Lepisosteus oculatus: one gene and its partner. The main gene of each other region encodes a partner of the protein of the gene in region 2 in a complex. Links are inferred from orthologs where the notes say so. Each region holds a gene or a part of one and is shown on either strand. Other genes may lie near its edges. The genes, in order: pstpip1a and ptpn22.

Region 1 (13,174 bases), about 22 Mb from region 2:
AACAGTGCACTGGGCAGGAAGACAAATTACTTAACTAGGCTGATTGGCATTTTAGGTCACTTTTTTGGAAAATGTTTTCCAGAGCATTTGAATATTCCAGAATCATGTTCTACTACATTTTATCAGCTGCAAGGCCCCCTGGGCATGTAACCCTTGTGAAAACACTGAACTCTTGTTGAACACCATCAGGTTTTTGTATTGAAAAAAAAAAAGTTATTTCAAATTCATGCTTGGAGTAGGTTACAGGAAGATTACATATTTTTCTCATCTTAAACAACCTTCATGTCCAATTGGAATTCAGCTGAAGTCATTTCATTCGTGACACCAGGTATTTAACTTTGAGGGTTAAGGGTTTTTCATCCTTTAAACCAGGTCGGCATAGAATACAGTGCTCATGCTGTCTACCGAACATCCCGGACTTGCAACTCCGAAACCTTACAACAGAATAACACCAAGAACTAAACTAACGACTAGATAGCCTTAACCTTTTTTTTCTTCTGATCTCACCAACGTCCAACTTCCAAATGAACTATTTTTGGCATAACGTCACTCTCATACTTTGTACAGTACTTCCTATTGAAGGTTTCCACAGGGTAGGTGTTAGTCTATGAAAACGTAATGGCTTTCTAATGACAATTCAGAATGATAGTAATTCATGCGCTCTTAGAAAGCTCCCAGCAGAAAGGTTGTCTCAGTGCCAGGGGAAATCACACTACGGAAATGCAGTGGGAAAGACTGACACATTTAATCGTGGACGTCAGGTTTTGCTGTTGCTGTTGAGAAAACGTTACCAGCATCGCCTTTGCCCAACTTCAACCTCCAGTCCCAGTTGCTCTGCGAAGTGAACGCAAAGGGAGGAGGAAAACGTTCAAATGTAGGTAACATTCAAGTTCAAAGACACATGTAGGCATTTTATCAATGAATTGCTTTACAAAATAAGTCAACATTGTGGTAAATGTGGTAAATTAAGTGAATGTTTTTCTTCAGTGCTGCGTTCCACTTCAACATTGTTTCATTATTCAGTCAACAACGCCAACTGTCCCGAAAACTGCTACTACTGTGTGGGAGGGGGGCCTGTCAATATTTCACCTAAAACCCTGAGCTTCTGCCCGGTCATTGTTAATGTGTCCCCGAATTCACTCCTTCCCGGCGTCATTCCCATTTATAGTCCTTCATGACATTCGTACTGTAAGGCGAGTGCACGCTTTTGCAAGAAGAGAAGGGCGTATAGAAAATGAGTTGGAGGTTCGCTTTTTAAAACAAAAAGAATCAGACCCTGGTTAGCCTTGTGATGTGATGCCGTGCAACAAAACCGCTAGATGAAAATACGGGATCATCAGAAATCTGTAGGATCCAAAGGACAACTCCACAAAGTCGCTCCCGGTCTCCTCTCTCCTGAACAGCTCAAATATAATCACCCTTATTTAAACACGCATGCTTTACCTTTGCTAACTAAAACATAGCAGGTGCACACATTTTTAATTTGTCTTTAAAAGGGGAAAACGCGTATGGGGGCAGTACATGAGGCCAGCATTATACAGACTACTGTATACCGAGTCATATCAACGTGATCAAGCAAATATCTGCAAACTCAACCAACGGGAGGCTTTACCTTCAGGGCGAGGTTGATGGGAGTGTTCCTGCCTTTGCCTCCTCCATGCGATGATCCCGAGCTGTTGCTCCCCGATCTCTCCCTCCCATCCCCGCCTGGGCCCGCTCTCTTCCCCGCTCTCTCCCTGCCATCAAGCGCCGGGCCGAGCCGGTGCTGGCCAGCTCCACGCCGCCTGCCTTCGCTGCGGCAGTCCTTAGACATTGGGCAGGCGACGAAGCTTTTCTTTGTGATTTCTGATCAGGACGCCGATAAGATTTGCGCCTTAATGTGATGAGCTGCAAACCAGTGGCAAGAAAAAAAAACTACACAAGGCACAGCTGACAGCTCCTAGACAACCTAAAAAGAAGCAGGAAAGATTCTGACGCTTCGGTGACAGGCACAAAGATTAACCAATGATTTATAAGCTTTAGACAACAGGGCGGGTATAAGACGTAAGACAGCCAATCAGACATAAGAATAATGAGGTCAAAGGCTGTTAGGGTAGGTAGAACCGTGGCAACCAGGTAACCGAGGGAGGTACTACGTAATATGCATTTTGATTGGTTGATTTACGCAGCAACACAAACAATGTAAACAAAAACTGTTCTCGACTGTGAAGGTATTTTTCGGAGAGAAGTATTTGCCTACTAATCTAAATCGATGTGAACTAGACATGGTTGAGTAAGAATTATTCCACAGCGATCAGAGGATCATTCAGTATTAGAAATCAAGTGTACTGAACCGTAACGTTAGAACTTTAGAAATAAACTGTAATTATTTATTATTCGCGTTATCTCGAATACATTTGCAAAGGAGCATATAAAACGGATTTTTAAAAAGTCATAAAACATCGTTTTAGCATTGAACGTTGAAGATTTTACCACCGATAACTGAATATTAAAAAAACACTCCACTTTTTGTTTTATTTACACCGTTGAAATGGGAAATATCGCTGCAGTAATCCCATAGGCAGCTGTTAGAAAAATAAAATGGAGAAAATACATTTTTTCCTGGCTTCGTCAGGTACAGCTCTTAGAAAAAAAAATTGCATTGTTGTATTTCAATGAAAACAAAGAAAACGACTCTTTCTCATCGGAAGTGACGCCAGGGGTGTCGGACCCATAAAAAGTGGGGTGTCCGCTTGGGTACTTTTGTTCAAGTTCATGGTCAAATGTGGGAGACGTTGGCACGTAAGGTAACTATCTACAAGTACAGGGGTTTGTGCAGTCAACGTTGGAGCTGTGTTCTCGGCGAAGTTCTCTGTGTGCTTGGGAGGTTAGGACATCTCTAAGCCCTGACTAGCTACATTAATGACAACAGGCTGTGAGCTTGCTCCCACCGCTGCGCTGAAGTTTCGTGGAAAAAGACCATCGGTTTCCAAAGACAAACCGTGGCATCGCATCGGCTGTCACCGATTAGTTCGTTTAGTGCAAGGTTTGCAAACTAACGGTGACATTTAAATATCGTTAATCGATTAATGTCGACACAGCTTCGTAAATGCCCTGAGCTAAAGCAGACGTTAAGAAGATTGTAACAATCTCTGGTTGTCTTTATTTGTAGATGTCCAAGTTGGACTTTAGTCTTACTGCCTCTAGGGGATTTTGGAATGCTCTAATGGATTTTAATGACTTAATAGAAAGCACCAGAATCACAAACCATTTTAAATACCGAATCACGACAATTTTGATTTTATTCTCATTTATAAGGTGCGCATAGGTTCATTTAAATGTTGAAAATATTTTCTGCCTACTACAGCTGATCTTGTTTAGACCAGCTCTGCAGGATGCTGAAGTCTGCGCCTAAACCGATAACAAGTAGCCTAACGATGCATGCGTTGTATAGGAGTGACACGCTTAAACTGAGCGATAGGTTTAGTTTCAAGATTAAACGTATTGGTTACAATATATTCGTGCGCTTGATCTGTTTTGAGGATCCTCAATTGAACTGACCGACTTCTTACTTGTCCCTGAGCTGAAATTCCACCAGGTGGCACCCAAGTCCTGGGAGTGTTGAGCTTTGCTTATAAGGGGTTTTTGCTTTCAAATCTTGCAGATCTTACATTCCAGTTCTTATAGAGGATGAAGCGCATTATCTTGACTTGGGCGCTGTTTGCACTCTGTTCGTGCGCCTCTGAAAACAAGGCCAGCACCTTCAATGCTGAGGATCCTGAGTATGACGGGAGCATCTTCTTCAGAAATGAGGTAAATGGATTGAGTCTCCATTTTGTATCCCATTCAGGGATTATTTTGGAATGATTTAACATTTTCTTTTAGATATGATGGATATTTGGTGCGGTTCTTGTACATCACTATTGGATCAACGCATTTGATTCCAAGGTTAATTCTAGTGGCAACATTTTGGGGGGGTTTCCCTTTCAAGTGCTTTCTCACATTTCACACTGTTTTGTAACCCTGAGGACCAAGATGAGATCGAGAAGCTCAGTCCAGAGGAACAAAAACGGAGGCTGGCAGTAATTGTGAAGAAGATTGACACAGATTTGGATGGCTTTCTAACTGAAGGTTGGTCCACTCCCAATGCATCGTGCATGTAAAAGTGAATATCTGCATCCAATATTATTTGTGTGAACCCATATATTCTCTCCATGGCTGCATGGTGTCTAGGATAATTGGCATCTCTAAACTGGCCCCTGTGCGAGTGTGTCTTGCAATAGGCTGTCAGTTGTCTGCTTTGTTAGGCTCCAGATCACAATAATCTCATGTGTCCCTCTCTAAACTAAGCAGTCACTGAAATTGAATGGATCTGTGGGCTGGTGCATTCGATTTTGAAGTCTCCCTTGTCATGATAAATTGAAATAAATCACATGGCTGTTTTAAACCCCTCCAAATTGTGACCCTTTTTTCCCCACTTCCCCAGGCGAGATCAGTTTATGGATACAGCAGGTGTATAGACGATATGCTGTAGAAGATGTGGCAGAGAAGTTCTTGGAATTTGATAAAGATGGTGATGGGGCTGTATCTTGGAATGAATACACCCTGCTGGTACATGATCGCATCATTGACATGGACGAGGATAAGGTGCCAGAGAACTCTGAAGAAAAATCTCTTCACTTCGTAGGTTCCGTTTTTTTCTTCAACTTTTGCGTGCTTTGGCTTGGGGAAGTCATGTGATGTTGTCTGATTTTTGTCCCCTTAGTTGCACTTGAAGGAAAAGCAGCGCTTTGATCATGCCAATACAGATGGGAAACCCGGTTTGAATGTAACAGAGGTGCTTGCTTTTTTGCATCCATCAGAAGTGGACCATATGTCCGTAAGTTTATACTAATTACATACAATATGTATTTCTGTATCCGTTCGCACAATACAATTCCAAACATGTGTGACTCGTGGGAAATGTCTGTAAGGTACTGCCCACATCCATTTGCTTGATTTGGACACTTGTTCAATTGTAGAAGTATGCCATCGAGGACGTGTTGAATGAATACGATCGAGACAACGATGGGTTTATCAGTCTGCATGAATTTCTAGGGGATCTTCGAAGTCCAGGTAAGTTATAACCTTATGCATAAACTTAAAGCTTAGTTTCCTCCATGTCAGGTGCTCTAGTTTAGCTACTGCCCATCAGCTGGGTACAGTGCCTTGCAAAAGCATGCAGATCCTTGATGCAAGTTTTCAAATGTTGCTGGATTACAAATGATACTTGCACATCTTTCCAGTCAGGACTGTTATTGCAGGCTCACATGCTTGAACAGAAAAGGGCACTGCAATGGCTCAAGTCAGAATATCCCCACTGAGCAAAAGCCACAAACTAAATCCTCTGGAAAGCAGAAGTAAATTGTAAAGAAAGGAGATGAAAGTTCATGATATTCTGGTTTGTTTCACTGTGACGGTAACCACAAGTGTTTTAGACCAAGTTAAGCGGGCAACTTTGAGCCCGCAGCTGTCCTTTGCTGTGTGTTGGAGTTCTAATTGTGGTCTTGTGGATCTGTGTGTGTGTTGGATCAAAGATGGAGTAAATCAATCGCAGTGGGAAATTGAGGAGAAACTGCGTTTTGTGAACCTCTACGACCGGGACAACGATGGCAAACTGAACTATGAGGAGCAGCTGCTGTGGGTGGCACCCAATAGTTACGGCACAGCAAGGGAGGAGGTGAGGCAGCCCTCTCAGTTCAATAAAAGACCTCCTGCTGCAGTGCTGCAGCTTCTCGCACTCTAGGATCTTGATGTTTGAAGAATTCATGCATGCTTGCAGCAGAAATACAGTTAAGGATTTCTCTAGCTTGTCACAATCGTCAGATTTAGTATTATATTTAATTTGGTGGTTGTTACTAAAATTTGCAACTGGCAGAGCAGTTATAATAAGTCACGAATGTCTCTGTTAAAACAACATCCTAGACTTGGAGTATGACCGTGATATGAGTGCAGTCCACTGAGCAGCAGAGCCAACATTCCAGGGAAAAAAGCACAAAAAAAGTTTTCTGTGCAGATTGGCAGCTTGTCACATGTATTCTTTTCAGAACAACTGTATCATTATATCTGTTTGCAAGTTGAGGTTCTGTAATTCATTTCAGTCTTTTTCAAGAGCTAGTGCTGAAACATGTTTACATGTTTGGAAACTGCATTAATCTAAATTACTCTCCAGAATGTAAATTCAGGGTGATCAAATCTTTAAAGAATTCTGGGATAATTGAATATACATGTCATGAAATATTAAGTATTATTTTAGAAAGTGTATATGAGTCCTTTAAACTCTGATTCCATTTTCTTAGTATTGTCTAAGAATGGTGTGCAGGGTCTGGTTGACCTGAGTGCACTTTGTTAATTAAAGACTTTCACAGTAACAACATAACTAACACGACACCGTTAACTTGATATGTTGATGGAGAATAAACTGTGTAGGAGTTGCTGAATTCAGTTAACTGAATTTAAACCCAGCATCCCTGTTTAAAATAGGAGTGGAGACTAAAGGGATTAACAGTTTGCTCTGCATTTCTATTATTGCACATATCAAATGCTTGTTAATGTTAGTTCAATAAGAATTTATATTATTTTATTACAGTTCAGGGATGGTCAGAATGTTTGGCACATCTAGAATCCTAATTTCATTTGTGATCAGCAGGGATGATTTTAACAAGGTCGTTTCACAGCTGTTTTGGATGGCAGTTAAATGCATTTTTTTAAAAAAAAAACAGGCTCTCCACCTGATCCAGGAGATGGACCGGAATGGGGATGGCAGGTTATCGGAAATGGAGATCATGAGCAACATGCAGACATTCATGGACAGCGAAGTGACCGACTACGGCAGGCAGCTCCATTCTGTGCATGATGAACTTTAGTTTCAAATTTTATTTTTTTATAAATAAAAATGCACTGTTTTTCCCCACTATAGTGTTAATTATTTTGTGTTGTGGAAGCCCAGGTGTCTACATCATGAGCTGTAAACAAGAAAGTAGGCACATCTTTTCCAGCCTGTGCACACTGACATGTGCTGGTTGTCCAGTCGTGTACAGTGTGTTTTTTTAAAAACTGAAATTAAGAACTGTTCTGCTCAAATATGGGGCAGAGTGGTGGCTCTGTGTGGCTAAGGGTCTTTACCTGTGGCCTGAAGGTTGCTGGTTCAAATCCTGTATCTGGCAGAGGAATCCTCCTCCGTTGGACCGTTGAGAAAGGCCCTTAACCCCAACTGCTCCAGGGGCGCTGTACAATGGCTGACCCTTTGCTCTGATCCCAAACGTCTCTCCCTGTCTGTGTCTCATGGAGAGCAAGCTGGGGTATGCGAAAAGATGAATTCCTTATGCAAGAAAGTGTATATGGCTACTAAAGTAAAGTGATCTTATCTTAAAAAAAAACACGGAAAAGTGTGAGGTCTAATATTTATAAAGTGGACTTCTTTTCAGTGAAGTTTTTATGCTCCTAAATAAATGGAAACTACAGGAAGATAGTTTATAAGTTTTTTTTAGCATGTTTGTTTTACGTTTGCCAGGACTTGATTCTTTGCAATTATTATTTTTAATTGATCAATGTAATGATGTCATATGAGTTATTAAACTTATCCTTTTGCTCTTCATGATACAATCAATATCACTGATATTGGGGGAATACTGGTAGATTAACTGTGCCTTACCCACCTCAGCTAATGTTACAAAACAGCTGTCAGTTCTAGGCTTGTTGGAAAGGTGTCAAAATAAGAAATGAGTAATACACAGCATTACTCAATTCTCGCCCCAGAACATGAATTTCCGCAAAGAGTACCTAACCAGAGACCACGTTGCATCATTATGCTTTTTGTTTTTTCTATACTTGCTCATACTGTACATGGACACCTAGAAAAGATACAGTGAAGATCCCAGGAAAGTTTTTTATAATGCACTTTCAAAGAGGAAAAAATAAGTATTCAGAGCAAAGAATTTTGGGAACCCCTGTAGTAGTTTGCCTAGCTATCTAAATTTTTTGGTAGGGCAATTGATTGACTTAAGAAATCATAACGAATTGCTGTAGGCAGGGGTGCAGAAAGGTTTTGAACACTGCTTGCCAATTAGAATGTAAATGAAAGGTTTAAAAAAAGAAACTATTTTTAGAAATATTTGATCAATTTCTCAGGTTTTAAATGCTTCACACCATGTCCACAACACTTTGTACCGTGCTGTACGGAAGGAAACAAAAGGATATTACAACCTATCGGCAGGGGTGTCATAATTGACACCATAACTGCTGTGACTTGTTTCTGCGTTTTGCAAGCCTTTCCTGGTAACGACTTGCACAATCAACTGCACAGCTCAAAACATGTTTAGCTTCTGTGTTGTAAAAGTGTTCAATCCTTTACCTTTTTTTAACAAATACACACATTTTCCCAGCACAATTTCAGCACAGAAGTCCTAGCTGCTGTAGCATTCAAATAACAATGCTTCGGTTTTATTTGCTGTCTCTCAAGCACCCTTCTGTGGTCAATGACATCATTTGACAGTTTCTTCCTCATTTCAGTTTAACCAGTGTACCACAAGCAGTGTAGTGTTAGAGGGGTTTTGTCTTTTTTTGTGACCATCTACCTACTAAGGAGTGAGTTTACCTTTCTGCCTCAAGCACAGGGAGTAATAAGAGGGGTTTGGATTTTTCTTTTTGGACTTCAAACTTCACGTTTTGAAATTACTGTGCTGATAGAAGAAGGATTTTCTCCTGACAGGATGACACAGCTGCAATTCAAAGATGCTTTTTGGGTAAGCGATTTCACTTTTGTTCAAGTGTTCAAGCGATTGGGGTTATGTGATAACTTAACAAAGAAGGGCTGAACAAAGAAAATACGCTTCAAAAACAACCATTGGACACAAGTCCAATAAAAAATCATTGATATTTGATGATATTAAATTCTGTTTTATTTTAATAGATTATGTTTTGAAATCTCATGCTTTCTGTGTTCTGTCTGCTCAAATGTTTCATAGGTTTCTTTAAAGTTAATGGTAAATGGTTAAGCATCCAGACTAGGGAGTGACCGTTGCTTTTAAGAACAACGAATCCTGCCTGCATTGTTAACAAATATGTACAATTTGATGAAAAACGTGTTTACAAAAAATTCAAAAACAATTAAGATAATACATAAAATCATATTTTCATTTAAAGTTTCTACAATGCTAAAATACAGCAAATATAACAATATAACCTCAACTCCCCAAAATATACTAGTATACACTCCTGTCCTATTCACTGGATAATACAATTTCAAAGGAGCTTACTGACTTTTAATTACACAATTCCTATTCTCTGAACTCAACGGTATTTGAAATGTTCTGTGTGAAATGTCCTTTAGCCTGCTGCTATGTTACAATACTAATATCTGGAAAGTCAGTACTTCCTCCTAAAACCTTTCTATGGAAGAGGCGGAATTGAACCTGAATGTGGTCTTAACTTTCCCTACTTCTCTGGATGTAAATTTAATGCAAACTCTGTATATGGGGTTAGATTTTCAAGAGTTCCAATGTTAGTAGTGTGGGATGCATATTAATTGGAGATATAAAATAAAAGTATTATTTTACTTTTAGGGCACAAGCTTATATTAACTCCATGGATGGAAAAGAAATGTGAAGGATCACATTCAAAAGATCATGCTCACAAAGCTCTGTCTTTCTCGTTTGAAGGCAATTGTAAAATAATTTTGGTGCCTCTCTTAAAATTGCTTGATTCCCCTCCCAAAAATAGAATAGTAACTACAAGAAAATCCATTCCTGAGTATACAATTGTCTTTTAGTGTGGGTGTGATTTTGATTTGGATTTTGGGTGTAATTATCAAAACCAACCCTCATTAGTTAGTCTAGCGATGAGTCTGATGCAAATGTTTCTTTTGGGCTAAACAGATTAATTGTAGCAGGGAAATGCTGCTTTTATAATGTGTATAAGGCCTTGAACAGCAAGCTAGAGGAGCAAGGGAGTGCTTTAAGGAAATGGTTTTAATACCAGCATTATCAGGGACCCCTTCTATGTACTTGGTCATTATTTGAAGCGGTCTGTGTGCAGTTACTTAGACTCACATTTCCTGTATATGGCGGTTTGGCATTAAGCATGCTGGATTTTTTTTTCTTTCTCTTTGAACTTTCCTTTTAAACCATTGTCAGAGCGTTCATCTAAAAAGCAACAGTCACACTTCTGGGTTCATTTGCATCAGTGCTTTCGTGCAGTACAGCTGCCCCCCGTGTTTCTTTGTGAAATGGAAGTGTGTGGCTGATGCACAAAGAATCCTAAGTGTGAAAAGTAAAAAAAAAAAAACTTTTTTTTTACTTGTATTGGCAATGCAAAGCTTTTTTGATAATAACATTAAAGACTGGACAGGGAGAGTATAGAACTAGTGAGGAGAAGAGCTTTGGGTTTTCATATACTACTGAAAGCTTGTTTAATAATGAAACAGAAATTCTGCTACCTAGTTACTGGAGAGGGACAGATTCACGTCTAGCTTCTGCTTTTTTTAATACACTAAACTATGTCCATAAAAGGATTTTTTTTTGGTTAAAAAAATACTCTAGTCTAGAACAACAAGTGCTTTTCTAAAAGGATACATTTTTAGGGAAAAACTAAAGCAAACACTCCTAATAACCACCAATATGAAACCGTTTTTTTCTGATAGACGGCCTGGTCATTTCAGGGTCTGGGTGGGACATTGCTTCTTTATAGCTCACAACAGCCCCCACCCTGCTGGGAGTGGGCTGGCCTCCTCTCTAAACCCGAATGTGCCAGGCCAGCAGATACAGTACTTCTTGGGTCCTGGGGCAAAGCCCTCACACCATTTTCAACCCCCACCCCTCTGCTGTCCTGTGGGTGGCACTAGGATAATCAAAGAAGAAAGAAAATAATCCTGAAGCTTTGTCATTTGCATCAATCCTTTTTCAAAGCCAAAAGCAGGTCTTAACAGAAGAGGAAATGTGACGAGAGGGGATTCTGTTGTAGTAGAAGTGCGTTAGGTTAAAGCGTTTCAAAACTCAAAACAGTATTCTATAGAGGAACAGTCAGTGTAACATTCTGGTAGGATTAAAGCAATTCTGTCCATCTAAGTGTTACGCCGGGCCCAACAAGGTGTTGAAACAGGCTCGGCAAAAATTAGAGTCAATGAGCCAAGATATGCAGCAATCAAGATAATTTATTCGATAACAGTGCTGAAGAGGACCAACAGAGCTGAGACTGAGGAAACAGCTTAGGCAGTAGCTGCACAGATGAATCAGGCAGAGCAGAGACTGAGGACTACTGAGAAATACTGCTGAGAACCTGAAACTGAGACAAACTCAAGACAGAGTTAGTGACTCAATGTCTGAACCCTGAGGAATGAGTCCTCAGGGCTTAAATACTGTGCGAGGTTCCCTAATTGGCCTGATAGGCCCGGCCTGATCTCGTTGAGGAAGGCCCCAGTGAGTCTCCAGCATGTGCGGATTGCGCATTGGCAATTGGTGGAGCTGATGCGGCAGTGCTGGAGCTCGTTGGGGCATAACACTAAGTATTTACGTTTACATTTGGATAATGCTTATCTGCAAAGCCACAATTAATATGCATGGAAATTATGTTATATTATAATTATATGTAGAAGAACAGCAAGACACACCAGGGTTATACTAATGGTATACAAAAAGCACCATCAATTGCACTGTATTACATTTTTGAATTATCAGCTTATTTCTGAAAGTACGAGTGAAACAGTCCTCAGATGCATAAATAGAACTGATAAAGAGAGCAAACATTTCTGTCTCCATCACAACACGCCAGAACAAGGCATGGTTTGCAGGAGTTTTTTTTGCCAAAATTGCTGTAGGCAGGCACACAAAAAGTATTTAATTGCTGTTTAACAATTTAAGTGTAAGTGAAAGGTATAAAAAAGAAAACTGTATTTTCAAGGAGGCAAATGGCCTGAAAACGTAACTATTAGGCTTGATTGTTAATTAGTTATTTTTACCATGTCTGACTGGCCTGGTCTTGCACGCATGCATATGAGGAAGTTAATCTTTAAGTGAAAAAACAAATTAAAAAAAAAAAGAGTTCCTTCTCCATGTCCAGTAATATCACTGAGCAGATTGCACAACACAACTTCGGGAGAAGGTATGTTCCTAAATTCTTGTCATCCGGATATTGTATGTTGTGCAGAATACTGGAGATGCGAAAATAAAATAATCCTGTCAGAGATTGGTATAGGACAAGTCAGCAAATTAGGAAGTAATTAAGATAGCACCTGAACTAACCTTTTCTCAGTTCTTTTCTGGTTCTCTGTGTGTTTTCAGCGCTTGTGGTTCTTCGTTATTGTGATTTTCTTCCACTTCTTAGAGTGGACGTTTTGACCAGTAATGCCAGCACCTGTTGTTTTTGCTTTGCATTTTATTTGCCTGACTGCCATTAGAAACAGAGCCCAAAGCAAGGTTCTGGCTCTGTATATGACAACACTTTTAGAGTTCTTTCCTGTTTTGGGGTAAGACTGTACTGTCACGATGTGCTTCTGCTGCAGGGCCAAGATTTCACCAATAACTCCGGTTATGAGGCTCTGCTACAAAGGCTGTATGATGGCCGGCGAATGTGCAAGGACATGGAAGATCTTCTGAAGATGAGGTAAGCACTGCCTGTGGACTTCTTGATATTTGCCCTTTTAGTGGATGGGAAAAGCAAGTGGCGTTGAGCATTGAGTGTGTCGTGAACATCACTGAACAGCTGGATGAGACTCTGGGATCACATAGCTCCTAGCAACCAATATCGAGGCAGAAGGATGGCCTTCCCTCATTTCTAATCTTTCTTATGTACACCTTGACATCTCAACTACTCTGGTTACATTAGTCTTCCCCGAAGTGTGGAGAACAGGGAGGTTCAGTTGCATACTGTGGAAGACACCAATTGCGAAACTGGTGCTTGGACCAGAGTCTAAACTAAACATTTCCTTAAGTAGCAGGTCACTGGAATGCAAGAACATCAAGTATGAGTAACTGTCACAGTGAGCTAGTCAGGTGGATAATTATTTTTGTCTGTTTAACAGTATGCTGGCTACTGCACGTGCAATGCCTCTCATTGTATGAAACAACTTTTTAAATGAATATTGTTATGAAAATGGTTGAAATCAGCAATTGACCGTGCGGTTAACTCATTAAGTAAAATAAATATTGATAACCCCCAGCTT
Region 2 (12,838 bases):
AAACATATTTCAGTAGGTGTTCACCCCTCCGCATAATGAATTGTCTGGAGTTCTTCTTGGAGACAAGGGGCGCATTGAGTTTGTGGTCAGGGGGTTTTCTGCGCCTGTGATGGAAATTCTAAGAGGTCGAGCGAGCACTCGTAGCAGAAAGTTTCCACTCCCTCAGCAGCAGAACGGAAATCAGACATGCGGTGACCTAAACCCCTTACTGTTTACCTCACACATACATATTGACGCCTTTGGCCATTTCCCACTAAATTTTCACCTAAACCTTTGCTGACAATTTCATTAGATGCCAAAGCATACACCTAAATCAAGGAGCCGAAAAAAAGGTTAATGGTGGAAAGTAGAAAGAAATGTACCTGAAGATGGTTCAGCAGCCAGAACCTTGCTTTTCATCTATCTGCTGTTCAGCACTGAATTTACTGTACTTGTTCCTTTGCCGCTAATGTACGCTGACACAGCCCCCAGCTCAAACCTTTTCAATTAAAAGTTAATGCTTCTTAATTAGGAATGTCAAACAACCATAAAGAAAGCAAACAAACCTCAAGGATACATTACATATCTGCTTGATATGATTGATTTGCTGTAATTAGACATTAATTAATTATATGAAATGCTTCATTAAGGATAAATGCAGAGTACTGACATAAAAAAATGTCTTTGCATAATTGACGTATTAATGTTTATTTGTTCACGTAGACATGAAGCAGCCACTATGAAAGGTTAAAACTGATAAAAGAATGAGACGATTCAAAGACAGAGCATGTGTTTGTGCAGTTTGGGTGAGTTTCCCTTAGCACTGTCCACCAGCGTGAAGTTCTGCATTTCTTTTAAAAGAACAGTCATGCTACCAGTGATCTTAAAAATAAAGGATGTTTCCTCTTTGCCACAAAGCCAGTGGTGATTTCCCATACTTCTTTGTGCTCTTGTGACTTGGTACTTATGTCAGAAAGTGTCTCTCACAATCTCAAGGCTTGGGGACAGACCCTGTCTGCTTTTATAGTGCATTGTGCTACTTTAGAAAAAGACACATTCTGCTTATGTTTTCTGCTTTCGAGACTGGTGCTCAACAGAGTGAACTGCAACAACAGGGCCTAGATTCAAGCCAAAGTGAGAGCTTTTCATTGGTAGTTCACGCAGTTCCTGCTGATAGAGCTACCAGCTTAATTGTGCATGAGGCAATTTAGGATGGTATTGGGTAGAGTGTGGCAACACTAGTGCTACATTGTATCACATCTTGTTATTCATGTTGACAGGCTCTAAAAACATTCCCACAAGCACTGGTGCAAAAAACAAGAGAAATGTCCCAATCTATTGCGGTGTGTGCATTGTATACTAATTGTATGGTTATGCCAGCCAAACTCTCTGCAGTCTACTAGTTTCTATTTAGAACCCGCACTGAGATACATGAATAAAAAAGAATGAATTGACTTTGAGCCTATAAATTTGAACAGTACAGACAATTAATGTTGCAAAAGTTACAGTGGTACAAGAAATCCTGACATTTTATGTGAAGAAAGAGCATGCACTGTAAAACTGACCAGTCAGACAGACTGTCTGAACCTGGGATCATGCTTTAGGAGTGCCATGATTAATTTGAGAGTCACAATTGCATTTTTAAGCCACGACTGCAACAATGTTTAAAAAATTAAACTGCATCGAAGGCATCACTGAGTGCAAGTCTATCTAAAAATAACCACAAATGAGAGGAAATCATCCAACTCATCAGCTTCTATTTCCTTCTGGTCAATACTGGTTGTACTAGAAACAAAGATCCCCCAAAACAAAATCCTTCCTCGCAGTAACAGTGTGCAATACAGGTCTGTTCCGTGTCACAGCAATCCACAGCCTATCACCATTCAAACCAAAACTGTTTCAGGTATGTACAGTATGTGATAAAAACACATGTTCGCCATTTTGGTTCTTTTAGTGAATATCATTGATAATATCATAAGACCACAGAACCCTGCTGCAAAAGAACCATCAGCACCAGAACAGCACTGTTTAAAGTTGATATTTTAGCATTAAGTCTGTAACAGAGGACGAGAAGGTTAAATGGGTTGTAACGTAGAGCAATAACCAGCAGTTTATTTTTACCATTCAAAGCAATTTGGCTCATCTGCAGCCTCAGAGGTTTCTTGAAAGTAGACCTTTACTCATTAATTCATCATAATGAGAAGAGATGAAGGGTTGTTTAACGAGTTGCGTGCTTACTCAGGCACAGCAGGAATAAAAAGTGTCAGTAAAATGAGTGCAATGGGAATGGAGAGGTACTGGTAAAATGCAGAGATAATGAAATCATAAATAGGAAAAGTGATTATTTAGTCCATTTACATTACTGCCCCCCTCGCACCACCGTTTTTCATGGGTGTCCTAGGGGTAGTAAACATTTCCTTAGTGTGTTATTCCTGCCACGAGGCCTGACTAAAACTGTTCAGTCAAGTGTTATCAATGAGAATAGGCAAACAGAGTGTTACAACATTTAGTTATAAGTGTAAAATTCAAATCAATGGGATGTTGTATTGAAATTGCACACAATTGCACTAGTAATATCTCTGTAGAATTTTGTGTACAATTTTTTAATCATGCTATAAATGCTGCTCTAGGGTAGAGCGACAAGATATATTCCTGGTCTCAAAGGAGAGTACATTGACAGGCTGAAGGAACTGAATCTTTTTAGTCTTGAACAGAGAAGACTATGAGGAACCTGATTTTTAAATAGTCAAAATCAATTAAAGCAACTGTAGCAGTCAACTCAGTGGACTTCACCACTGAAATCTGAACCAACCAATACAAGTGCAAACTATGGCAACTCAGGTCTGTTGTTGAAGCCAATACCCTGCTTTTATTCCAGAAAAGGGTTGATATGATCCCCTGATCAATTAGCCTCTAAATACCAACCTCATAACCTTTCTTACATTTTTACAGTATGTGCTTTAGCTTTAATGGCTTCGTGGGAACAGGCAAGGCTCTTAATAACAGAAGTGTCACATTTAGAGAAGTTCACACTTTAGAAAAACATGTTAAAATACAGAGTACAGAATAAAAATAAAAATAAAAATAAATACAGTATAAAGATCTTTCTGCTTAAGAAAGTTAATATTAGAAGTGTCTAGTTTACTTTAGGTAATGGACGATTCAGAAGCAGTACTGCCTTTAAACATGCAGCACTTAAACAAGAGCTGTGATGAGACCATAACTGTGAGCGGCCTACACTGTTCCATAACAGAGTAAGTAATAACAGAGCTCAGAGTAAGTCTAAAAATCAATGAGAAACTTTTAGTGTTTCTCCAGTGTTTTCATGCTGCTGGTAAATTAGGAAAACACCCACCCTATCAAACACAAACAGACATACAGAAATGGTGTCTTCTTCAAGTTCAAAGTTTATAGGTCGTGTCCACCAGCACAAGGAATTTGGTCCTTTGTCTTACAAAAGGTAGATTTGCAAATTTATGTAGGTGAGAAAAAATACAGTACTCTTTCACATCACCCATGCAGTATTTACAGAGAGAAGTGCCCCAGCAGGGAGAGGAGGCAGACACAGTGCTACATTCTGGCCCAAACGGGACCTCTGGAACAATGTGCTCAGACACCCTGACTGCATTTTAAACTCTCCTATGGATTGTCAGTTTGATTTTAACAGATGAATGTGACCAAAACTTGCAGAAAACAAAAATGCAGATTTGTCTTTTGTTTTTGAGTTCCTGTTTCATTTTGTTTCTGACATGTTATGATGGTCAGACCGGAACATTTTCAAGGAACTCTACAAACACCACATAAGGGGTAAAACCACAACATGGCATAGTATCAGTTATTCTCATACAGGAACAAGCTGTGGAAATATTTAACACTCTAATAATTGAGAAAATTCTTTAACATGAGATATCACTCTTACATGCTCGTGCTGAGTTAGAGGTGATTATAAGTGCATTACTAAATGCCTTTTCTGTCCTGGCCTTACAGACAGCGATACTAACTCCGTCACATCGATCACTTCCTTCCAGCCTTTTAAACAGACGCACTGTAGTGTTTTAAATCAGCTACTCTATTTTACAGGCCTATACTGAGAGAGGTGCTAAAAATGTAGTCATAATATAGTTTATAAACTATACATATAGATATACTATCAATATATAGTGCATAAGTAGAAGAAATTTAACAGACCAGTGCATTCGGTACATTACATGCACATCATGTGTATATCATAATGAACACATTGTTGCTGCTATACATTTACACTCTATATATCTAAGCCGACAGCTATTGTTGACGACCATCATTACCACATCTTACAGTACTTACTATAAAACTTTAAATACTAATAAAAAGAATATGAGAAGATAGAGGAATTGAATTGTTCATAAGGGATTTAAACTTTTTTCTTCCTTAGTGCAGCACTGAAAGAGTCGGCGCTCAGAACTTTTCAGTTTTTGTTTGTAAACTTTCCTTCTGTACTCCTGTGAACTTCAGTTAATTGAGGCAAAGCCCGAGCTTGTTTCATGTGGGCTAAAGGAGATTATAGTATCAAAGTACAGCTTGAAAGAATGAACTCACTAAATATTCGCTGGCAAAGATCTCCTCAGACTGAGCCTCCTTGGTCTGCATCTCGTCCAGGAACTTCCTCAGGATGCTCCTTTGGTCCATGCTGAGTCCCTTTGTCCTCTGGGTGTCCTGCAGCTGGGGTAGGACATGTCAGGACTGGGGGCTCGTGGGACCGGCACACTGACAGCCTCTACTGCCAATGAGCCTGTGGTTAAGAACTGCATGAGCTGTCTTGAAGGAAGCATAGCTAACAGGTTCTGTGGTCAGATTAAAAATATCATCCGTCATGCAGGGTCCTAGAGCCCGTTTCTCTTCTCCCATATTGAGTGTGCGCATGTGCTGTGATGTGTGTGGACAATTAGTGTGCTGTGCTGCGAGAGTCTCCTACAGACGTGCAGTGAAATGACAACAACACAATCACGCTTCAAGACAGGGAATTAGGAAATGTAAAACAAGAAGCGGTGAGGCTGCACAGCCAGTCAGACAGCATTCATCACTCCCAGAATCCAGTTTGAAAGGCTAATCAGTCCCAAGAAGGTATTTCCCATTGGTAAAGAAATTGGTAAGACCCATTTCTCTGTGCCTTCTGTCTTATTGATTCCAGTGAATTTTACAGTATGTGCTCTGCTGAGCTAGCTCTTTTCACCTCTCTGTCTGGATTTGATATGTCTGAAAATGACATATTTGAAAATATTTAATGCCAAGTAACAACGTATGAAGTTAGACATCCCTTTCTGATGATGATGAGACAAACCAAGTCTTAAAAGTACAATTATAGAGTTTACTTGATTTGCAGTCATGACATAAAACGTACTCTTGGCCAACAGGTTTCGAAGAACTGTTCTTTTGTTACCCCTTTTAAAAGGTTTTGCCATGTTAAACAGGAAATTGTGACACTGACGTAAGCATGGTGTTTCAGGAATGCATTCTCCTTTACTGGCATCCTTATCTTTGAATTGTGCAGCTCCTTCTGCAGCCTAGAACAGTGTCAGGTGCTGCAACAGTGAACTCACATGCTTTGTGAATTCATTTTGCTCCCTTTTCAAACAGACTGTCAGCTCAGTGTTGTGATTTAGTGTTTGACTTGCTTTTCTTGTCTGAAAATTTCCAAAGATTCTCAACAGAAGGCTGCTTGTGTGCTATATGGGGCTGTAGGTTGGCTTGTCATAATGCATACATTTTTTAAATAATGTCTACTGGTGTATTGTATGCTTCTGAAAGTGAAACATATTAGCCTTCTAAAAATTAACATTTCACAAGAGATGGAAAATTGTACATTGTATGCATTTGTATATTTCAGTTCTACCACTGATATATTTTCATGGTTGCTGTGATAATGTGGTCAGTGAGAGCACAGTCCATGCGTTTCAAAAAGGATCTTATCAAGTAGAACATAGTGAAGCAAAAGGAGAAATATCTTCTGCCTCTATTTCCTTCCCTATCACATTTCTAAAAGACCTCTGTGTGCATCACTTCTATCCTGAGGTTAAGGAAGTGTAATTTCAGCCTGCCAGTCTATTATAGGGAACTAAGAATGAAGACAAATTGTCTGTTCAAAAATCTAGCTTCTGGCACTTCTCCTGTAGTACTTCAGATGAGTAAATCCAATTTTCATTTATTACATGAATAAAAACCAACCTTACAGTTGTGAGAAAAATGTTTGTGTACCCTTCGGAATCATCTGTATTCCTGTATTAATTACGTGCTCCTAAAGTGCAATCTGTTCTTCAGATAAGTCATAATAATAATTAAATACAATCTGATTAAACAAATAACACATAAACAATTGTGACTTTTTCATGACTACATTGAGCACATTGTTTAAACATTTAGTGTCTATGCTGAAAAAAGTAAAAAGTATGTGAATGTAAGTACAGTATGACCTCAACCAAACATTTCCTGTAGCTGGATCAGTCCTGCTGTAGCTGCTGTTTTGGACCATATGGAAATGGGCATATTTTAGCTGTCTTACAACAGCCACTGTAGAGATTGAGCTATAAGGCACAAAGTATAAAAAATGGTAAATTTGAAAAAATCTGGTTAACTTTTTTCAAAAGGAGTCCCAACAGGCACTTGCTGCTTGTTTGTGCAACAAGTCCACCTTTAATTCCACATTAATCTGCATTATTGCTTTCAATAAAACGATACTGATATTATTTTAATTAAGTCATGAGCACTTCTAGTCAGTTGATTAATGAGCAGGCTTCTGGAAAGTACATGCAGCTTTGATGCCATTACAGCTAGCAGCATTTGATCTAATTACAGTTTGACTGTAATGCTGGTTCTGTGAACATTTTTTCCCATGTCAGAAACGCCCAGTCACTTACGTGAAACTGCATATTTTAAAGCGGTTAAACAATGCATTGAATACCTTAAGAGCAAAACAGAAGCATGACTGGAGCATAAAGATGTTACTGTCTGTCACCATCCCGAAAAACTTCAAATATCTCACAAAATGTCAAATATGTCAGCATTTAAAAAATGAGAGCTCATTCAGAAATGAAAGAAGAGACCAGGTATCACTTATCATTGGACTGATCACTGTTCACTATATCTTTAATACATACATTTGAATGATTCTGGTTTCATGGCACTGTTGGAAGCCTTTTATCTCCTGTCTAAACCACAATAAGCTGTTGGACCTCATGATCACTCTTAGATCTTTGACCATGGAGGCCATGGTTCAGTGGTGCATAGAGAAGAAAGTCAGATGGATCCGTATCATAGATGAGGGCTTTAGTGGATGTTAAAAGAGGTCTGTTCATGTCTCAATGGTAGCTTAAAACACTTTGTGTCATGGGTCTATGGAACACCTTACATGCTGTGTTTTAAAGAGTTAAATACTCTTCCATCAGAAAATTTAGAACAAGCAACAACAACTAGGAGACTGTGGTGACCAGATATGATATCATGCTTTGCTTGATTCTTGCCTAAACTTCAACGGGGGGTCATGATAGATACTGTCATTCAGTGCTCAAATATTATCATTTTTATTATCAGGCAAAGACAAAATTTGGAAGGCATCAGTACTTCACATGGATTCTCTATATGGCTTCTTCATTGATACAATTAGTGGTTTTCATTTTGTAAAGTCAAAAAAAGCCATATACAGTAGTAGAAAGTTTTCTGTCTTTTCCTGCCACTGGTGAACAGTGAACATTGTGTCAGTTCTGGCCTTAGCACACACTGACAATTCTGAAGGGTGTAGCTGATGATCGCCCTGTGATAGACAGAGAAACCTCTGTAATATCCACACGCTCATGGCATCCCAGAAATCATCTCAGATTTTTTTCCTCATTCCAAATCCTGCAGGTGAGGAGGAGGACCAATGATATGAGCTCCACTCCTCGTTGTTGTGCATCTGCCTAAAGGCCTTCTTATGAAGGGCTGGAAGGGCTACAAGCTTATCTCTGTATAAAAATCAGTTGCACAATAGAGTTTTGATTGAAACGTCCAGCCAACATTATCATCTTACCTTCTCTTCATCAGGACCTCCTATGTTCTCAGATCTCACTGGGTTGATCTCCAACAAGTGAGCCACACATTCTGTGGATGTTAGTGAAATGCTGGATCTCTTTCCTGATTCACCTTCCCTTGGCAGATGATAGCCAGAATGATATAATCACAAACTTCTCTGTACTTATACTTAGCGCCAGTGTGCCCTTCAACTGCAAAAAAAAACAACAATCGGTGGTGATCAATAAATTATTACTTAACATGTATTTCTCCGCTGCATGAAAGTTTTGTGTCAGTATTTGCTGTTAAGCGCAATATGAAATTGCAGCTCTGAGTTCTGATAAAGTTGCCTTTTATATTCAAATGGAATCTGCCCTCTAGTGGCAGCTCTGAGAAATCCGGCAAAAGACACTGAAAGGTTTCATACAGTAAAAAAACGAAATCACTGCAGATGCACACTGCTTTCTAGGTTGTGGGTAGCAAATCGAATAGTGACATCATGAAGTGCTCCTTTAATAAAGTCTTTCTATAATGTTTTTTGTTTATGGGGCCCATATTACGAAATTCACAAATACCTTATTCTTTGGTATTTATGGGATTCCGTGTCATTACATGAATGTAATGTATTTTGTTTCCATAGAGGTACTGTATTTGCTACACACTGACATGCAATGTGTTGGACCTGCCCAGACATCTGGTTAAACTGGCCTTTAAATTAAACTTACTGATCAAATCAAATATTTTATTCCTGTAATTCTACAAAGAGGGATGGCATTTCTGAGGTTCAGCGTCATAGTAAGAATGAAGAGTTTTTATTGTATGTTACCTCAACCAGTGGAGCAAGGCTAGACACCAGAAAGATTGCAGCTGCATTTTGCTTCAGTGCCAGGCATGGACAGCTTTCTTATCATGTGAACCTGCATATCTGCAAAATGTGCAATGAACCTTTTTTTTCCATTCACTGTAAGATGTATTTTTTATACTATTCTGTAATAGTTGAGTAAATGAGTAAATGAGTATCTCCTGTGTACACTGCCTCTGTTCTGGTGTACACTGTCTTAGTTTGAACCATCCTATTTATCAATATTAGTATTATTATTTTTAGTAGTAATTGCACTATGTGTATCCTGTCTACAATGTCAGTGTCTTGTTTGTAATTGCATCATGGGCCAGAAGGACCAATATTTAATTCCACTGTAACTTGAACTTGAACTTTTTTTTCTGAAAAAGACAGTTGAAGATGAGATGAAAAACCCCATGTTTCTTCTGACCTCTGGGTGATGAAAAGGGTTTATTACTCTTAAACTGTTTGAAGGTGTTAATTGGTAAGCTATAATCAATAGCTACTGTATAGGGGTGATTTGAAAAACAAAGGCCAAATTTACCAGAGGAATTTTTGAAAATTACCTCATCTATACGATTTCTGCAAAAACATCCATTTCAAAGAAATGGCTCGTAATAAAGGTGACCAGAAAAAACCACAGTGAATATGTTTGCATGCGGCACTTTGACAACAAAACCACAGTCCACTTGAACAGAGCATCCTGTTGTTGTCTGACATGCCCCAGGTAAACTGGCGTGATGAGAGTCCTGTGTTTAATGCTGCTTTTTCAGAGTAAGTACATATTTCTACCAGCCATCAGATTAAGTTTTTAAGAATTTGTACAGAAGAAAAAAAATAAAACTACAAGTGATGTAAAATGATATACTAAGAATTTGTACATATCTGTCTGCCTTTGTCTCTTTATGAGTAGCTCACTGTCTGTTACAGACGTACAGTATCAGGATATTTTGTAATATCTTGTACCAGTAACTTCTGACAATACTGTATAGAGGTTGTGCCCACCATCTCCTGCAGTGTTATTCAATAATTTACTACTGTGGGAAGATCAAATAAGGTACACTAGCCATACAGTATGTCTTAAATTATCTTAATTTACTAGAAATCTTAACTAGAATATCTTATGATCAATTTTACGCTGGATAAATACGTGTCTAGTAAACATTGAACAGATATCATCGTTCGTGAAGCACAGTTTGGGAAATAATTACATCAATAATTAAGGCCAATAGTTACATCTGCTGGCTGTGTGATTGCTTGCCGATGTACAGTATATTAATATTAATAGTAAGAATGATAAATATTTGGATTTACGAATATCCCTAATTATTTCAGTAAAATCGTTTAATTTAGAAAGATTTCATGAAATTCCTGTTTTTGCATTCTTACCGTAAATCTCAGAGATTAATTGACACAATTCTAAATTAAGTGCAGAAAGAATAGATTTGTTTTAAAGTGGAGAGAGAAAGTTAGGGCATTACATTAAATGACTACAGTCCTCACCAGGAGAAGATAACAGAAGATGAACAGATGGATGGTTTAAAAACAGAAAAATTACTTTAACACAATGAAAATAACATATCATCTTATTTTTCAGCTGGATTTTTTAGTTTTTTTGAATGCGGACACTTCAACCAGTCACTTCTTGGTGTTAGGGTGTCAGTATTATAGCATTTTCGGATCATTTTTCATCATAGAATTGTACTAACTCATCTTTTTTTAAAGGCCTGCTTGCTTTCTCCTTTATGGTTAATCTGGAATATTTGAATAGGTTTCAAAACTAAAACCTTTAATTGTTTCTCTTTCTTGAAACATGCAATAGGGATAAAAGGCAAGTACAGGGTTTTTATTTAATTTTTTAGATTTTTGTAACACTGATCCAGACCATGCGGATGAATAGGTGATGAGAATGCGACTTTAGAATGGTTTGACATGGGTGATTTCTAAAATCCAACTGTCAAAACAGTCTTGGTGCATAGCTAACTCTTTTTTTAAAAAAACCTAACTTCCATATCATTGGCACAATACAAACAAGGCATTCCAAAAGAAGTGAAATCTGCCTGCTTTGAAGCTTAGAGCTTTATGACGTGAGGCTGTTTATCCACTGCAGCTACTGGTAAGATTGCCTAAGCAGAAGGAAAGATGAGTTCAGGACAGGGAAACACCAGACCTGCTCTTAAAAGGGAGTGAAAGCCATACTGTCTTAAAATACTACATTTCTATTTAGCAAAGACACAGATGTTTTGTTTCAAAATTCAATAATGGAAATCCTTGCTTATATCTTATTTACAGTTGTGTTATTTGGGTGTGTGTACAGCACTGCACATCTATGTGTTAGATGCCTGGCACATAAGAAACTAGAGGTATTAAAGGACGTGAATGTTCATTACCAGGTAGTGTCCAGCTCCACTGTGACAGAGCTGAGGAGAAAAGCACCGTTGCAGGAACTCTCACAGTCGTCTGTCATTACAAGACCAACGGATACCTGTATAACAAGAAGTACTGGTGCCATGGAGAATCACGCAACTGGTGTGAGATTCTGGCAGACAGCGACAACTTTGTGAAATGGGAATATCGAGGGAGGATCTTTTTACAAGATAGACAAGGAGTCTTGCTGATCAGAATGACACAGCTCCGTTTGGATGATACAGGAGTATACTGGGTGGGGATTGACAGACCTTATACTGATATTATGTGGAAGATCACCATCAAAGTGACAGAAGGTACAGTAAAGAGCTTGTCTACAGTATTTTTCCTTTGCTCACCTACTCATCCTTCATCTTCTCAGCATCCTTAAAACCCAATATTCCAGCATCTAATTCACTTCCTATCGACAGAAACAATTTCTCTCAACTGTTAGTCTTAAACATTGGTGTTTTCTGTTACCATATTGAAAAAAAACTACATTTTGAATTCAAATGTCCCACACAAGTATTGTAATGTAATACCAAATAGGAAGTTAAATATGCACCACAAGTAGTCATGTAAAGAAAAAGAAAATGTAAATATGAATTGAACAACATTAGCTGATAATAGTCAGATTAATACTGAGAAATGTATATGTACCGTATACTGTATACCTATAGGCCATATATACCTATGTTGACTTTTTCTTGATTTTTTATACTGTATCAGTAAATCAGTAAAATAGACTGATTCCTCCTGACCAGGAGGAATAGCTTTAATGTTTGGGAAGAATTGTGCAGATGGTCTGCATGAAGTGGGCTGATTACCTCCACAGAAAACAGATTCTTATTTAGTCACTTATTTATAATCTTGCAACACCAAACCCACACTCAAGTGAGTTAATCTGTGGTGGTTTTCCATTTCCTTTATAATATATTTTTAAATTTGACTCAGGCACATTGTAAAGTCATGCCATCTTACTGAACTAACTCCTGCACTGTTTGAGCTGACAACTCATCGAGATGGCTGGAGTTAAAAAATAACTCATCTACGATCTTTGTTTCTACAATATACAGTATTTAAGTTCTTTTTAAGTTTTTCAATTTGCTTACTAACGCAGTCACACCTGCATACCTGCTTGACAGGAAACAAACAGTACTTTCATCGTCCACAGTGAAGGCAGAGTACTTCATTTGAAGACACATACTGTGCTGTATATCTAGTTTCTGGACAATTGCTTGCTTGACAATTGTGTACAATAACATCATGGGCATTCTCTTCAAAAACTTACCTTTACTGCGTATAAGGACACATTAATTAAGCTAAGTTGGAAAGAATTGCCCATGGATCGCAGTGGTAAAAAGCCCCAGATTGAAAGAGTGCAGTATGTTTAGCATATTTTTGAGCTTCTGTCACAAACCACAAGCAGGCACGCAAACGCCGTCGCAATCCCACGAGCACCCACTAATTAACTTCACGCACTTTGTCTATTTAAACTTCCACTGTGCAGCTTGTCCTCGCTCACTATTGAGGTTTCCTCAGCCTGAGCTGCGAATCTAGTAAGCGATTTATCGTTTGTTCTTGTGACCC

The links.
Region 1: the proteins of ptpn22 (region 2) and pstpip1a are in contact, whole or in part, in a crystal structure (PDB 7AAM), measured with the Homo sapiens proteins. The link is inferred for Lepisosteus oculatus from reciprocal best matches to the Homo sapiens genes PTPN22 and PSTPIP1. Residues at the interface, in NP_057051.4 of Homo sapiens: Ser793, Lys794, Pro795, Gly797, Pro798, Arg799, Asn800, Pro801, Pro802, Trp805, Asn806; in NP_003969.2 of Homo sapiens: Thr225, Arg228, Asn229, Trp232, Asn236, Ser239, Met240, Cys242, Val243, Asp246.

Annotation. Positions count from the first base shown.
Region 1 is NC_090700.1:57,240,251-57,253,424, reverse strand, and holds the start of pstpip1a (proline-serine-threonine phosphatase-interacting protein 1a), read left to right. Parts: upstream 1-8,309; 5' UTR 8,310-8,729; coding exon 8,730-8,762; intron 8,763-12,514; coding exon 12,515-12,615; intron 12,616-13,174. Other genes in the region: scaper (S phase cyclin A-associated protein in the endoplasmic reticulum), read right to left, coding at 1,613-1,813; rcn2 (reticulocalbin-2), read left to right, coding at 3,670-3,792, 4,008-4,110, 4,466-4,662, 4,745-4,858, 5,001-5,094, 5,556-5,698, 6,741-6,884. UniProt on the Homo sapiens protein: Involved in regulation of the actin cytoskeleton. May regulate WAS actin-bundling activity. Bridges the interaction between ABL1 and PTPN18 leading to ABL1 dephosphorylation.
Region 2 is NC_090700.1:35,038,576-35,051,413, forward strand, and holds the start of ptpn22 (tyrosine-protein phosphatase non-receptor type 22), read right to left. Parts: upstream 4,773-12,838; 5' UTR 4,648-4,772; coding exon 4,558-4,647; intron 1-4,557. Other genes in the region: uncharacterized protein, read left to right, coding at 9,583-9,616, 11,236-11,565. UniProt on the Homo sapiens protein: Acts as a negative regulator of T-cell receptor (TCR) signaling by direct dephosphorylation of the Src family kinases LCK and FYN, ITAMs of the TCRz/CD3 complex, as well as ZAP70, VAV, VCP and other key signaling molecules.